Daphnia pulex: one gene and its partner. Each later gene encodes a partner of the first gene's protein in a complex. Links are inferred from orthologs where the notes say so. Each region holds a gene or a part of one and is shown in the gene's direction. Other genes may lie near its edges.

Region 1 (7,342 bases):
GAAAGGGCTTTCCTGCGCCTCCTCCGCCCACTCTGTCGATATCGACGCCTTCTATTGGAGTTGTCACCACCGATTGGATGCAGAACTCCACCAGCGTCACTGTCGTCCTTTATACGCGACAAAAAGGACTTGACGCACACCGGGTGTCGACGTCTATCGACGGGAAACTTTTCCGTATTCGTATCTACAGCGACGATTGGTCACGCTGTTACGATTATCAAATTCACTTAGCCGAAGTTGTCGAATCTTCCTGTAAGGTTACAGTATCGTTGACAACGGGCAAAGTGGAATTGGTATTGCGCAAAATACAAACTGCACTCCATTGGCAGAAATTGGGCGATTTGGAGGACGTCAGCCAAGGGTTTCAGCCGTTAAGCCAAGCCTCACCATTCTTCCGCCAGGCCACTTTAACACGCAAATTGCGCGTTAATCACAATGTTTTTCTATTCACTTTGACGTTTCCTACTGGTCAAGACTTTTACGTCCCTGTTGGTTGGCATGTTCAACTCAAACTATCTCTGGAAGGTGATTGCACATATGCGTGATCTTGAAAAAGGGTTTTTTATTTTTATTTTTTATTTTCACGTTTCTAATCATTAGATGGAAGTGAATTAATCCGTAGCTACACTCCTGTTGTTTCTGATCTTTCTTCGTGCAAGACAACAGACTGCCCATCTAAAACTGAAGCGTCTAGTTCGCTTCAGTTTCTAATCAAAATCTACCCTGCTGGACCATTTACTTCGGCATTGGATCGATTGGCTGAGGGTAACAGCTCGATTGAAGTGAGTGATCCAACTGGAAACTTCCTAGAATCGCAATTAGAGAGCAAGAATGTGGTAGCTATCGCCGCTGGTACGTATTAGCATTGTTGGACGACCCCCATTGTTGCCTTGTCTTTGTTGACATTGTTCTGTTTATTCATATTTGCCCTCCCGTGATATATTAACCAATAGCAAACATCTTAAGTAAATTACATTCTTTTTTTAATAAATTAAAATTCCAGGTACGGGGATCACGCCATTAGTCAGAATAACAATCGATACCTTACGCAATAATAGGTACCCCTTTTGATGTTTTTGTCGATTAATCTCTTATGAACTAAGCTCATTTGAATACCAATTTTGATTAATTTAGGCGTGTTATGTTACTGTTCTTCAACCGAACTCAAGAAGACATAATCTGGAAAGAAGAGTTTCGGGAATTAGAACTTAAATATCCTGAGAAGTAGAAAAACCGAAATTTCATTCTAACCTCACATTAATGAAACATCTATATCAATTTTTCAACAGGTTTAAAGTATGGCACGTATTGTCTGAGCCGGATGAAGAATGGTTAGGTCTTCGAGGCCGAATCAACAATTCTATACTAGCCACAACTATTTTAGGTAGGGATTGTCCTGACGACGGTTCCAATTTTGCGTGTGTTTGCGGACCGTCAGACTTTACTTTGGAAACACTCAGGTGATACATTCTTTGAAAATTCACACGAAATTTTGGATTGAAAAAAATGACGAAAGTTTATTTATTGTTAAAAAAGGTTGCTGGATGCTGCAGGATACATAAATGAGGCCGTTCACGCGTTTTCGGGATAGAAAATTAGGAAACGCCTGCATATTTGACTTCATCGAAAGCTTTACGAGCTTTCTTCAGCTCCTCGTTCATGGTTAGAAGGTCTTTGACGCGGGCAAATTTACGCGTGTCCTTGCGAACTAAAAACACCATGTCTTCAACTTGAACTCGGCCTGTCCGTCCAGTTTCCATGGCCTTGTGCGTCTGAAGTAGTAATAATGCAAATAGTTAATGTCAATAAAGTCATTTGCCATGTTATAGAATTCTAATCAGGTTGCCGACTCTTTGTGAATTGCCATAACACGATGAAACATTTGCATTTGATTTCAAAAATAAACATTTTTGCATTCTAACTTGATAAATAAAATTCAAAGATAGCAAATCAGATGTCACAGTTTGAAAAAAATTTTAAGGTATTAGTCCTACCGTTTCAGTGATGTATTCAATAACAAGGTCTTCCAGCAGATCAACACTTTCTGTATAGGGATTTTGATCATCACCAAATCCAAACATCATGCAACGAAGTTCCTTGCTGAAGAGGCGCTTTCTGCCTGATGAAGTGGATCCATAATGCAAATCAGGTTCATCATCATCAAACTAGAAATTGAAACATTTAGAAATTAAATGAACAGTAAAGCATTAAAACAAATTTAAATACAAAAATTTCCACCAGCAATATGTTATATGTACCAGCAAAACTTTCAGCTGGAAATTACTTAAGATTTAATGTAACTTAAAAGAAGAAAATTACCTGATCATAGTTTTCATCTGGATTTTCTCTTTCTTTGCTGTCTCTTTCTTTCTGTGGGGACGAAGTCAATGAAGTATTCACCGAGGGAGAAGACATTTTGAAATTTGATTACTAAACGAGTAAATGTTAGTGGGTTGGAGAATTTTCGAGCAATAAACGTCAACAAATCAACCACTGCAGAAGACACTAGGTAGGTTAGTAACGAAAACGGTTGCCAGATGGCTGTAAAAGCACTCTTGTACGTACTAAAATCTGCTTTCTTGTAAAAAAAATACATTGCGCGGCGCCTGATTACGCATTCAACATTGAAAAATGTTTATTGGTTACAAAAAGCCAGAGTTATAGCTCTGCAAAAAGCGTCAAAGCAAAAATTTCCTCGATTTAAATTAGTGTCGTCCATTTTCATTCAGTTTGAAATCTCCAACGTAACTCGGCTTTTCTACGCCGTTAGCGTACATGGCAACATCATACTTGATTCGATATGGTTTATTGGAACCTTGATTGTAAAATAAGGAAACAGTGATACGAGCTTCTACTTGTTTTCCGGGGTAAAATTTTTCAGAATCCTCAATCATCTTGCGGACTTCAAATTCGAAAGATTTGTAGGCACTGTTGTTGAAATTTTTGTGCATGGGGACGAGATTATTTACGTCCGATCCCGATCCTCCAAGCATTTTGGCAATGATATGCCCGGCATGATAGTCTCCTTCTATACCTAGTTGTTTTTTCTGCTCATTGTTTATGGACACTGTACTTCCATTTCCAAAATTTTCCGACCGAACAACCGCATAAACTTTGCGATACTCGTTCTTCTTCTCCAACCTTAACTTTGACAGACTTGTCATTCGACATTCTTGTAGACAGGAACTGAACCAAGAATCTGTAACACAAAATGTGTTTTAAAGTCCTCATAACTGGAGATTCTAAAGTCGAATTGCTGGACTATATACTCACCCAAGCAAACAAATGAATGTCTTTTCACTCTTTCCGGAGTTTGTTTTTGAGAAATTGCTCGGAAAACTTTGGGCGGGTCAGACGATCAAGAGCGGAACAGCGGATTCCTGCTGTCTGTTTATGTTTACGAAATTCGATTCATAAATCGTCGCCAGTGTTGCATTATTATACACTTCAAACATATCTCATTACTATTATATTTTTTAGTTTCTTTTAACGAAATCACGTTGTAGAGCGGTGATTCGACTCCGAATGAATCCATAAATAAAGGATAAGGAAATTTAAAAAAATACGTGGTCAGGTTAAATCTAGATATGGCAACCTCACTTCTCTAGTTGTTGTTGCAGCCGTAGCCGAGCCGCATTCAAGAAAAACTAATTTTGATTGGAAAGTTTCACTTACCTGTTTTTATAACTATTTCTATAAAAAGGAATAAAAATAACTAGACATGACTTCTCAAAAAAGTACCAGAGAAGTATTGCTTACTTGCATCGACGATATCGAAATCATCGCAAAGTAAGTTTTTCTTGATTTGGCTGCCTTTGTTCGTCGACTATTTTGATCACGTAGTGCAATTGTTCTTCCTTCAAAATTTTTTTAATGAAAGTTAAAGCCTCAGATCTATCTATTGTTCATTAGCATGATATATTTATTTATCTTATTAGGTAATCATACCATTGTTTACCTGAAATTCAGAACACTTTGTCACACTCGTTTGTATCATACACTGTTTTGAATTTGATTATTGAATTTTAATCTTCCAAAATATAATTGTCACTGTACTAAACTTAATCTTTTTAATTTATTAGGGAACTTTTGGACAACTTAATAGCCCAGAAGCAGCAGAAACCTATGAGTACTGAACACTCTCAACTTGTTGAATTGGTTCTTCAAAAAGACACTGATCTTAAGGCAACACTTAAGGTAAAATTATTTGTTTTTCATAATTTTTTTCAATGCTAATTCTTTCTTTTATTAAGTTGGCTGAAGAACAAGGTGTATTACAACAAAAAGTAGTTGCCTTAGAGACAGAAGTTGAAAGGCATGATGTTGAGATTCGAAATCTTCAAAAGCAGCTTAAGGAGGCAGAGCAGCTATTAGTAAGCTATTTTTAATTATTTTGTTGGTTTTAGTATTTCATAAACTTACTCTTTTTCAGGCTACTGCAATCTTTCAAGCTAAGCAAAAGTTGCAATCAATCACACGGGCGAATAACAGACCTGTAAATTCCGAAGAGTTGATAAAATTTGCTCACAGAATATCGGCTTCCAACGCTGTTTGTGCTCCTTTGAATTGGCAGCAAGGAGATTTACGCAGACCATATCCCACGGGTAGAAATTTTTTTTTAAATTGCTGTCCAGTAGTTTCATGTTGTTTTGTGGTGGTTTTCAGATATTGAAATGCGGCTAGGATTTTTGGGCCGTCTTGGTGAAATGAATGTCAATGGACACATGAGTTTTCCAGAACTTTTGCATCGTCCTAATCATTCTTTGCAGCAGGGGTCTTCAGTTCCGAATTCTCAAGCAGGCACTTATAGTTGGTTATCTCAAAATGACCTGCAAATGCCCTGTTTGTCAGTTTCACACTTGGGTGTGAGTGGTGGAATGGATCACAAAAATCCCAAGAAAGAGAATGAAGATGTCGACGTTATGTCTACGGACTCGAGTAGCAGTTCATCTTCCGATTCTCAGTAAACACGTGAGCTAACAATTTACACTCTGTATCCTGCGCGATTGCTTAATATTGTTGGTAACCATCCTGTATACTATTCTACTTTCGCATTTCTTTTTGAAAACCTTCCTCATTCAAAGGTTCGTAAAATAGATAAATATTTGTGCAATTCCTTTTTCGAATTGTTCAAATTCTTTTCCATTATAAAGTTATGCAACAATTTATTTTATAGTTAACTTCTCACTATTTACAAAATAGCTTTAGAATCGAACTCCCCATATAAATTCAGGAGATGTGCGTCATCTCTATAAAAATACCTAGATTTCCATATATTCTTCAGCATAATAACCCGAGGCACGTCGGTTAAGGTCACACAAAGTATTCGCGTATTTCATCGAGCAAATAATCGGATGTCTCTTCGCTTATCTCCACAAACCGTTTTTGCTTGCGGCTAAAGACGTAGATGTCTCCGGTATAGATGTCGAACCATAACCTAGTATCATAAATTTCAACATTAAACACTTACGAGTAAACGTTTGATACATGATACATACGCGTGAAGGTGTACTCGCCCCGAATTTATGGCACTTTGAATGAAGCTATAACTGGCAATATGCTGTAGTTGTTGCAATGTGTTGAGCTGAAAAAAGATAACCCAATTAGATTTGTAGACATTACATAACTTGGCATAATTCTACCTGTGAGAGCTTATCTGTTAGACTAAATTTATTGTCAGGGTCTATGTAGGCAACAAATTGTCTGAATGGTCCCTCCATTGGGAAAGTCAAGGGCTGTTGGAAACCATGCACTTCTAACCTCTCAAATTTAGTTAGAGAAATACTACCATGGCGATGAAGCCAAGCTTTAAGTGGAGATCTCTCGAGAGTTCTCATGTTGGTTTCAATTCCTTTTTTAAAACTATACAATAGGTTCATAGCCTGAAACAAAAGTTGTGTGTCATTATGTTTATGTTATCATTTAACAAGTTTATGGTTGACTGACCTTGCAATCTGAGTGTCCACAAACAACCATGTGCTTCACATTATTTACAATGCACCCCAGCTCCAGGGCTGCTGGTTCAGTGGTAGCTGAATCAATTCCATACAGCTTCGAGTGAGGAACCAGATTACCAGCATTTCTAACTTATATTTACAATGTCCAGGAATATAAAAAAGCAAGCAGTATATATACTTGTGTTTTAACATACCTATGAACATATCACCAACATCTGTTTGTGTAAATCGAGTTGGAAGCATTCTGCTGTCCATACAGGTAAAAAACACTGCTTTTGGCTAGAAATATACGATTATTTTATGTTTTGAATGAAAAAAAACTAATGAAAAAAAAACTTTTTACCTCAGGTCGATCAGCAACTTGTTTAAACTGTTCCACCATTTCAGTTCGATACGTTTTTCTGTATTTAAGGATACCTTTCAATATTTTGTCCATTTTTTTTTTATGTCCACGTTGGAATGTCGACCGAAGGGATTGGGGCGACGATAAATAAGGTGCAAGAGTGTATTTCTTGATGGTCCAATGGTCCTGTTATGATGAGTGTTTACGTTAGTTCAACAACTAGATACAACCAGAGAGACAAGTAACTCCGTTGCCATGTGACTGCAAGCAGACGTTTTTATCGTCGGCTGAGGATTGATGTTTCATGCCAAAATCAAAATAGATCGGTTGCGCGGTACTGCCAGCAACACAGCGATTCGTTTTTTAAAATTATTATTTCGGTGAAATTTCATTGCGTAAATTGCGGCGGCACCTTTATTCATTATTTAATATTGCGTTAATTGAATTCTTATTTTTAGGAATTTGATAATAGATGGCAGTCATATCATACAAAAGCCGTTTTTTTGTTTTGTTTTGAATCTTTATTTGTATGTATGAACACGGAATAGCCGTAAGCGGTATCCTTATCAATTATTGAATTAAAAAAACAAACATGTTCAGGCTACGTGACGTTTTGTTTGCTTTTGTATTTTCACGACAGAATTTCAATAATTTAATTTATTGAACATAAAATTGAGCATTTGAGATGCGGTTAGCTCAATTCTTCGAGGGCGTGACCAAAGACTTCATGTATTGCATAATCTGCTGGATGCTCTTTCTTTGTGTGTTCAGTCATCTCTTCTTCGCTTTGACAAACAAATTTGCAAGAAGGACAAGATTTCCGCGCAATACATTCAGGAATATGTGAATCCAACTTTTTCTTTGAACTAAATTTCTTCGAGCAATTTGGACACTGGAGAGCAACTGAAGCATCATGAGTTCGCGCGTGGGATTGTAGGTTTGAGCGACTGGAGAAATTTTTATCACAAATTCGGCATGCGAAAGGTTTGACTCGTTCGTGCAATACTACGTGATTTTTAAATACATCTTTGCGTTCGAAAGT
Region 2 (5,204 bases), on another chromosome or scaffold:
CCTGTCGTCTATATGTAGTCTTCGACCTAAGAGTTTCAAGGGCTTGGAGATGGATACAAAACACAACTAAAAATAAAATAAAAAAATGGGATAGAAGAGAGAAAAAGAGGGGAGAGAGAGAGAAAAAAGGATAGAATGGGAGAAACGAGTGTGGGAGAAATCGTTGCTGCGTCTTCTATTCAACCACAGGCGAACAATGGATATAAGGAAGGCTTTTCCTAGCAGACTCGATACCGGTATGAGAAATTGAGGAGGGAACTTTCTCCCCTTCTCTTTAACGCGCTCCTTTGAATTGTACGCGTGTCAGAAACTCGTAAACAAGGACGGGTTTTTACTTTTCTAATAGTTATTCTAATAGTCCCAAAAAAGAAAAGGAAAAACTTGCAACGTCCAGTCTGGACCATTTCTGGCTGACGAAAGAGGAGGTGAGGTCAGCCGAGCTCCCGTCGATTTGAATCTAATCAACATCCAACTCACTTTACACACACACGGCACTAGAATACGCTCGAGGGAATTGAAACACGCAACCACACAAGACTGTCGACAAGTTTCTATCGCTACTACTACTTTCAAACGTTGAAACCAAGAAAACAGGAATTAACGGACAACAGATAAGTTGTGGTATAATCTCACATACTGGATTTTCTGCAAGGGGACTAGGGAAATCCCGAAGAAAACAATAAATCACAAATGTAAATATTTTCCATACAACACAACCGCATAAGAAATGATTGCCCTCGCAAGCATTCAAATACAACAGATTAAAATTAGAAATTGAATTCCAGAAATTTGTCGGAAGGCAAGCCAAACCCAAGTGCACATAAAGACCCACCGCGATGGTTTACGATTGTAACTTAACGCATTGAACACCTGTTGAGTCATTCAACAGGTGACTTTCAGGTGGGAGTCAACGTGAATAGCCTGTGCGATTTTCGATTGCTCAAGGGTAGTAACATGAGAAGAAAACCGATGAGAGAAAAAAACAACACAACACGGTGAAGCCGAACCATACCTAGAGTCAATTTACTTTCGGTGATCTTATAAGAGAGAGAATCCGAAGACATTGTGGACCAAATAGGCCAGCGGCAACCAAAAATGCGCATAATTTGCCCGTTAAAACCTCTGAAACATCAGCCATGTACGTAAAACTTACATACACGCATTGAAACTAGAGAAACAAAATAGGTAGGGGCGAGCTGACTGCAAAACTTGCACTACAACAAAATAGATTTGAACAATGGACCAAGGCAGCAGGTGGAAGCTTATCAATAATTCTCACGTTATTTTTTATCTCGTAAACACAAGCGCAACACTAATCGAACTGACAGGTAACTATTTCAGTATCTGAATGAAACAAACGTAGGCTGTTTTTCTGAGAGATATGAGAGACTGTGCTGTGCTGGCTTCATCATCTCTCCCACACTTTCGCGTAGGAATAGTCCAGTTTGTCGTTTGCTTTCGCTCTCACACGGGACTTGATGAGATGTGCAGTCCTCTTCTCGTCATTAGAGAAAAAGAAACGTGATTTATGAGAGACGCGGTCAGTGCCCACTGAGTACAGGGAGAGGGCTAGAACTAAAAACCGCCGAAAGGAATAAAAAAATCTCGGGGAAAAACAAGCTTGTGTGCATTCTCTAGGTCTTCTTCTCTCCGACCGACCGCAAATCCCCAACATTTTTCAATAGAGAAAATTTTCATGAATATTGCCAGTACCAATCTCACACAAGTTTTCTTTCTCTAAACCACTGCAGCGCCACACGCAACACTCACTTCTCTAGTTTTCTAATAATTAGTTGATCTTTTCAGCTATCCGATAATTTAGCTTCGCAAGTGAAGTGGATGTAATAACTTTATCCATTTAGTTTTTTTTACAAGGAAAACAAATTGAATCTATTCCAACGACGCAGTTTCTTAGAATGTGCTTCTATTGGCTTAAATCCCCCTCCCTCCCAAAGTCCTTGACTAAGGATTTGATGCGAAATAACTCAACATTAACTGTTGTTCATGTACTTAGAAGTCGTACAACTACTGTTTCCTAGAAGTATTGCAGGCAACGAACGGGTGTAAATCATTAGTTAGCACTTAGTAGGATACATAAGCGGGTATAGTACCTAACGCAACAACGGCGTTGTGAGAAGTGGAAGGGGATGCAGGAACAACATCCCCGACGATTGCCGGATGAATTTCCGTCGTGGGTTTAATCGCCGTTGGTTTGACCATGGCCGCCTCGACTTCAGCCCCATTCGCAGGTTTAGCGACAGGACTTGGTGAGGGAGACGGATGGTGGATGATGTTACTGAAATTGATGCCCATGTGTTGAAGTGTATTGGGAGCCCAAGTTACAGAACGGCAACCGTTTATTGCCTTAGACGTGGACCTTTGGGTTGATCCACAGCAAAGATAACTTCTATTCCCCCACAGGGCAGGGTGATACACATTCACAAGAGGAGCACTGTCTTTGACCACTATCAGGAGAAAAATAAAATAAATTATTAGATGAGATAAAATGAACATGTGAGATAAATACTGCTATTTGTCACACATAACTACTTGAGACGTCAAAAGAGAATGTTCTCACCAACTCGGATATTCCAAAGCCAGATATCTCTTTCTTGCTGAGTGGGAGTGAAAATGCAAAGAGTCAAGTCTGTTGCACTACAACCTTCATTACACTCATAAGGATTGTACACTATCTGAAAAGCAGGAGATCCCTTCAAATCACTCGGAATGGAACCTGTAAGGTTTGCCAATGGACCGATGGCAGGTGTGTCAGGTGCTGGATCAACAGCTTCCACAACTTTCACTGTTTGGAGGTCGACACGTCCCTTTTCTTTTCCTTTGCGATTCTGTTGTTTGGAATTGATGGTTGTGATGAATTAGTGATGAAGGGATTCACGAACACAGTCCATGCGTGTTTAGTAGAACTAAACCTTACCTCGCATTCGCCCTCGTAGTAGGCGAGGAACTTTGTGGTAAGGACGAACCATCGACTCTTGTAGTTGATCAAACTAAACCTCTTCTTGTTCTGTGATCGTTTCACTAAATTGCCTTGCTTTTTTACCTCACCTGCAAGAGGTTTGGCAGAGCTTTTAAACATACTTACAAAACGATCACTAATCAAAAAAGTAGTCCCCACTTGATAAAGCTGTTATAACTTCGTTCATTGTCTTTCTCCCTGGACCCTGGTACGAAGAGAATGAAAGCAGGACGAAGAAAAAGCTCTCCAAACCTCTCTAAATACTGGCAACTCGGACAGATCTAGCGGCAGTTGCCGACAACTATTATCGGATTTAATTTCCTCCGAAAATTAGCGATAAAATCGAGGAAATATACATTTAAAATAAAAAAATAAACAACGATTAATTGATTTAATGACAATTTAATGTAAAATTGAATTCTTTTACAACATTCTAAATCAAATTTGTTTCCATTCAAGAATGGCGTGTCGGGACAGCCACAAAAAGGAGAACATTGATCAAAAAATAGTCTGCTGAAATCCCCAAGCAAACGAACTAGAAAACGTCACATTCTTCATTCTTGAAAACAAACTATATTGTTTACATTACTATATTGCTTCATTCCAGTGGGAAAGTAAAAATGTCAGAAACGGCTCAAGTTAGTTCATTACCTTTGCCACCGATGCAATATGTCAGTCTTTTTAATGAAGAAAACGCTAAAAGAGGAAGAACACCGAGACCACCTCCTCCGATCACAGACAATTATTCCATGTTTGGTAATCCATATAATACTGATGATGCTGTGATCCGACCTCTTGAAAGCCAGGTGATAGAAGTTTTTTCTTAATCAAAGCTTTCTTTAATACTCGTTTTACTATTCCAGAATATACGACGTCTGTACCCTAATAACTATGACCACAGAAGAGAACTGAAAAAGCTCAATCACTCCATCACTGCTAGTTTCCTTGACTTGGTTGATATCTGCATACGAAATCCAGAGTCTGAAGCAAGAGCCACAAAAATTGATGACCTCACTTTGCTTTTCATTCACATGCATCATCTGGTCAATGAATTTCGGCCTCATCAAGCAAGGGAAACTCTTAGAGTTATGCTAGAACAACAAAAACGACAAAGATTGGAAATTGCAGAGCGTTTCAGAAGACATTTTGACAAAGCTTGGGAATTGGTTCAGCAGGCTGTCAACACAATTCCTGAACCAACTGAAGGCAACATCAAGCTCCTTATAGATGTTGAACGGGTTCAACCTTCAGAAGGCAATGCAAGCAACCAAACTTCTGGGAATGGGTGTACTGAGGAGGATCGTGTTCTGTGTCAAATGATTGATTCTTTGTGAATTCTGTGTTATTTTATGTTTATTCAAAGTGGAAAATACATTCGATCTACTCGCCTTTCTGATGTAAAATAGTCTGCTGTTTTATTTTTAATCGTTTTGGGACAAACATAATCTCGGTGATTTATTTTTTTTTAAGAATTTTTATTTTAAAATAATTATTGCAATAGATTTTTCTATTTGTATTTTAGTTGATAAATGTTGATGATCCACCTAAATTAAACATCTAGATCAAATTGCAACGTTGTTTATTCGTTTTAGTCCGTCTGCAGTCGCTGTAACATATTTTTCCTTCAAATTTTTCCTCTTGAAAGTTGATTCGAAACAACAATACCGTTGAAGTTAATTCTCTGCTTTTGGTAAGTGCATTGCTGTTAATTTAACTGTATATTGAACCGGTCTATCGATAGTTATTAGTTTTATCATTTCGCCTTGCAGGTAACATTCAATTGTTATAGCCAAAGCAAGTTTTTACACGTGATCATCTTTCGTTAGTAGAGTAAATTTTAAAATGACTGAAAGAAAAGTCAGCCCAGTTCCCGTCTATAACAATATCCTAATGGAACAATTTTTTGATGAGATCCATCCCAAACGAAGTCCTGTCATACTCAGAGGATTAGACATTGGAAGTTGTCTAGGAAAGTGGACAGCTGAATATCTTTCGCAAAATGTTGGGAATAAGCCAGTGAAGATTCATGTATCTGAAACAGGGCAAATGAATTTCCTAACCAAAAACTTTCATTATAAAACACTGCCGTTTGATCAAGTAATCAAAAGGTCTTCTGAAAATGAGCACGAAAACTTTTTTCTAACAAACAGTGAAGTTTACTATTTAAGGGCACTTGGAACTGATTCAAGGGGAAGAGAGGTTGCCAATCTTGATTCTCATTATCCTG

Evidence for each region. Proteins that work in one complex are often made in the same cells at the same time.
Region 2: mediator of RNA polymerase II transcription subunit 4-like (region 1) and mediator of RNA polymerase II transcription subunit 7-like share a complex: the UniProt entries of both Drosophila melanogaster proteins name them as parts of the mediator complex. The link is inferred for Daphnia pulex from reciprocal best matches to the Drosophila melanogaster genes MED4 and MED7.

What each region holds. Positions count from the first base shown.
Region 1 is NC_060026.1:12,374,961-12,382,302, reverse strand, and holds mediator of RNA polymerase II transcription subunit 4-like, read left to right. Parts: upstream 1-3,597; 5' UTR 3,598-3,721; coding exon 3,722-3,789; intron 3,790-4,082; coding exon 4,083-4,197; intron 4,198-4,253; coding exon 4,254-4,373; intron 4,374-4,432; coding exon 4,433-4,604; intron 4,605-4,665; coding exon 4,666-4,967; 3' UTR 4,968-5,113; downstream 5,114-7,342. Other genes in the region: cytochrome b5 reductase 4-like, read left to right, coding at 1-525, 601-852, 1,004-1,058, 1,135-1,224, 1,290-1,460, 1,537-1,591; transcription initiation factor TFIID subunit 13-like, read right to left, coding at 1,596-1,772, 1,995-2,165, 2,320-2,415; beta carbonic anhydrase 1-like, read right to left, coding at 5,314-5,437, 5,499-5,584, 5,643-5,882, 5,947-6,086, 6,152-6,236, 6,301-6,393; gastrula zinc finger protein XlCGF7.1-like, read right to left, coding at 6,992-7,342. UniProt on the Drosophila melanogaster protein: Component of the Mediator complex, a coactivator involved in the regulated transcription of nearly all RNA polymerase II-dependent genes.
Region 2 is NC_060019.1:10,645,517-10,650,720, forward strand, and holds mediator of RNA polymerase II transcription subunit 7-like, read left to right. Parts: upstream 1-3,461; 5' UTR 3,462-3,597; coding exon 3,598-3,783; intron 3,784-3,840; coding exon 3,841-4,311; 3' UTR 4,312-4,380; downstream 4,381-5,204. Other genes in the region: tyrosine-protein kinase Btk29A-like, read right to left, coding at 2,112-2,465, 2,579-2,846, 2,936-3,097. UniProt on the Drosophila melanogaster protein: Component of the Mediator complex, a coactivator involved in the regulated transcription of nearly all RNA polymerase II-dependent genes.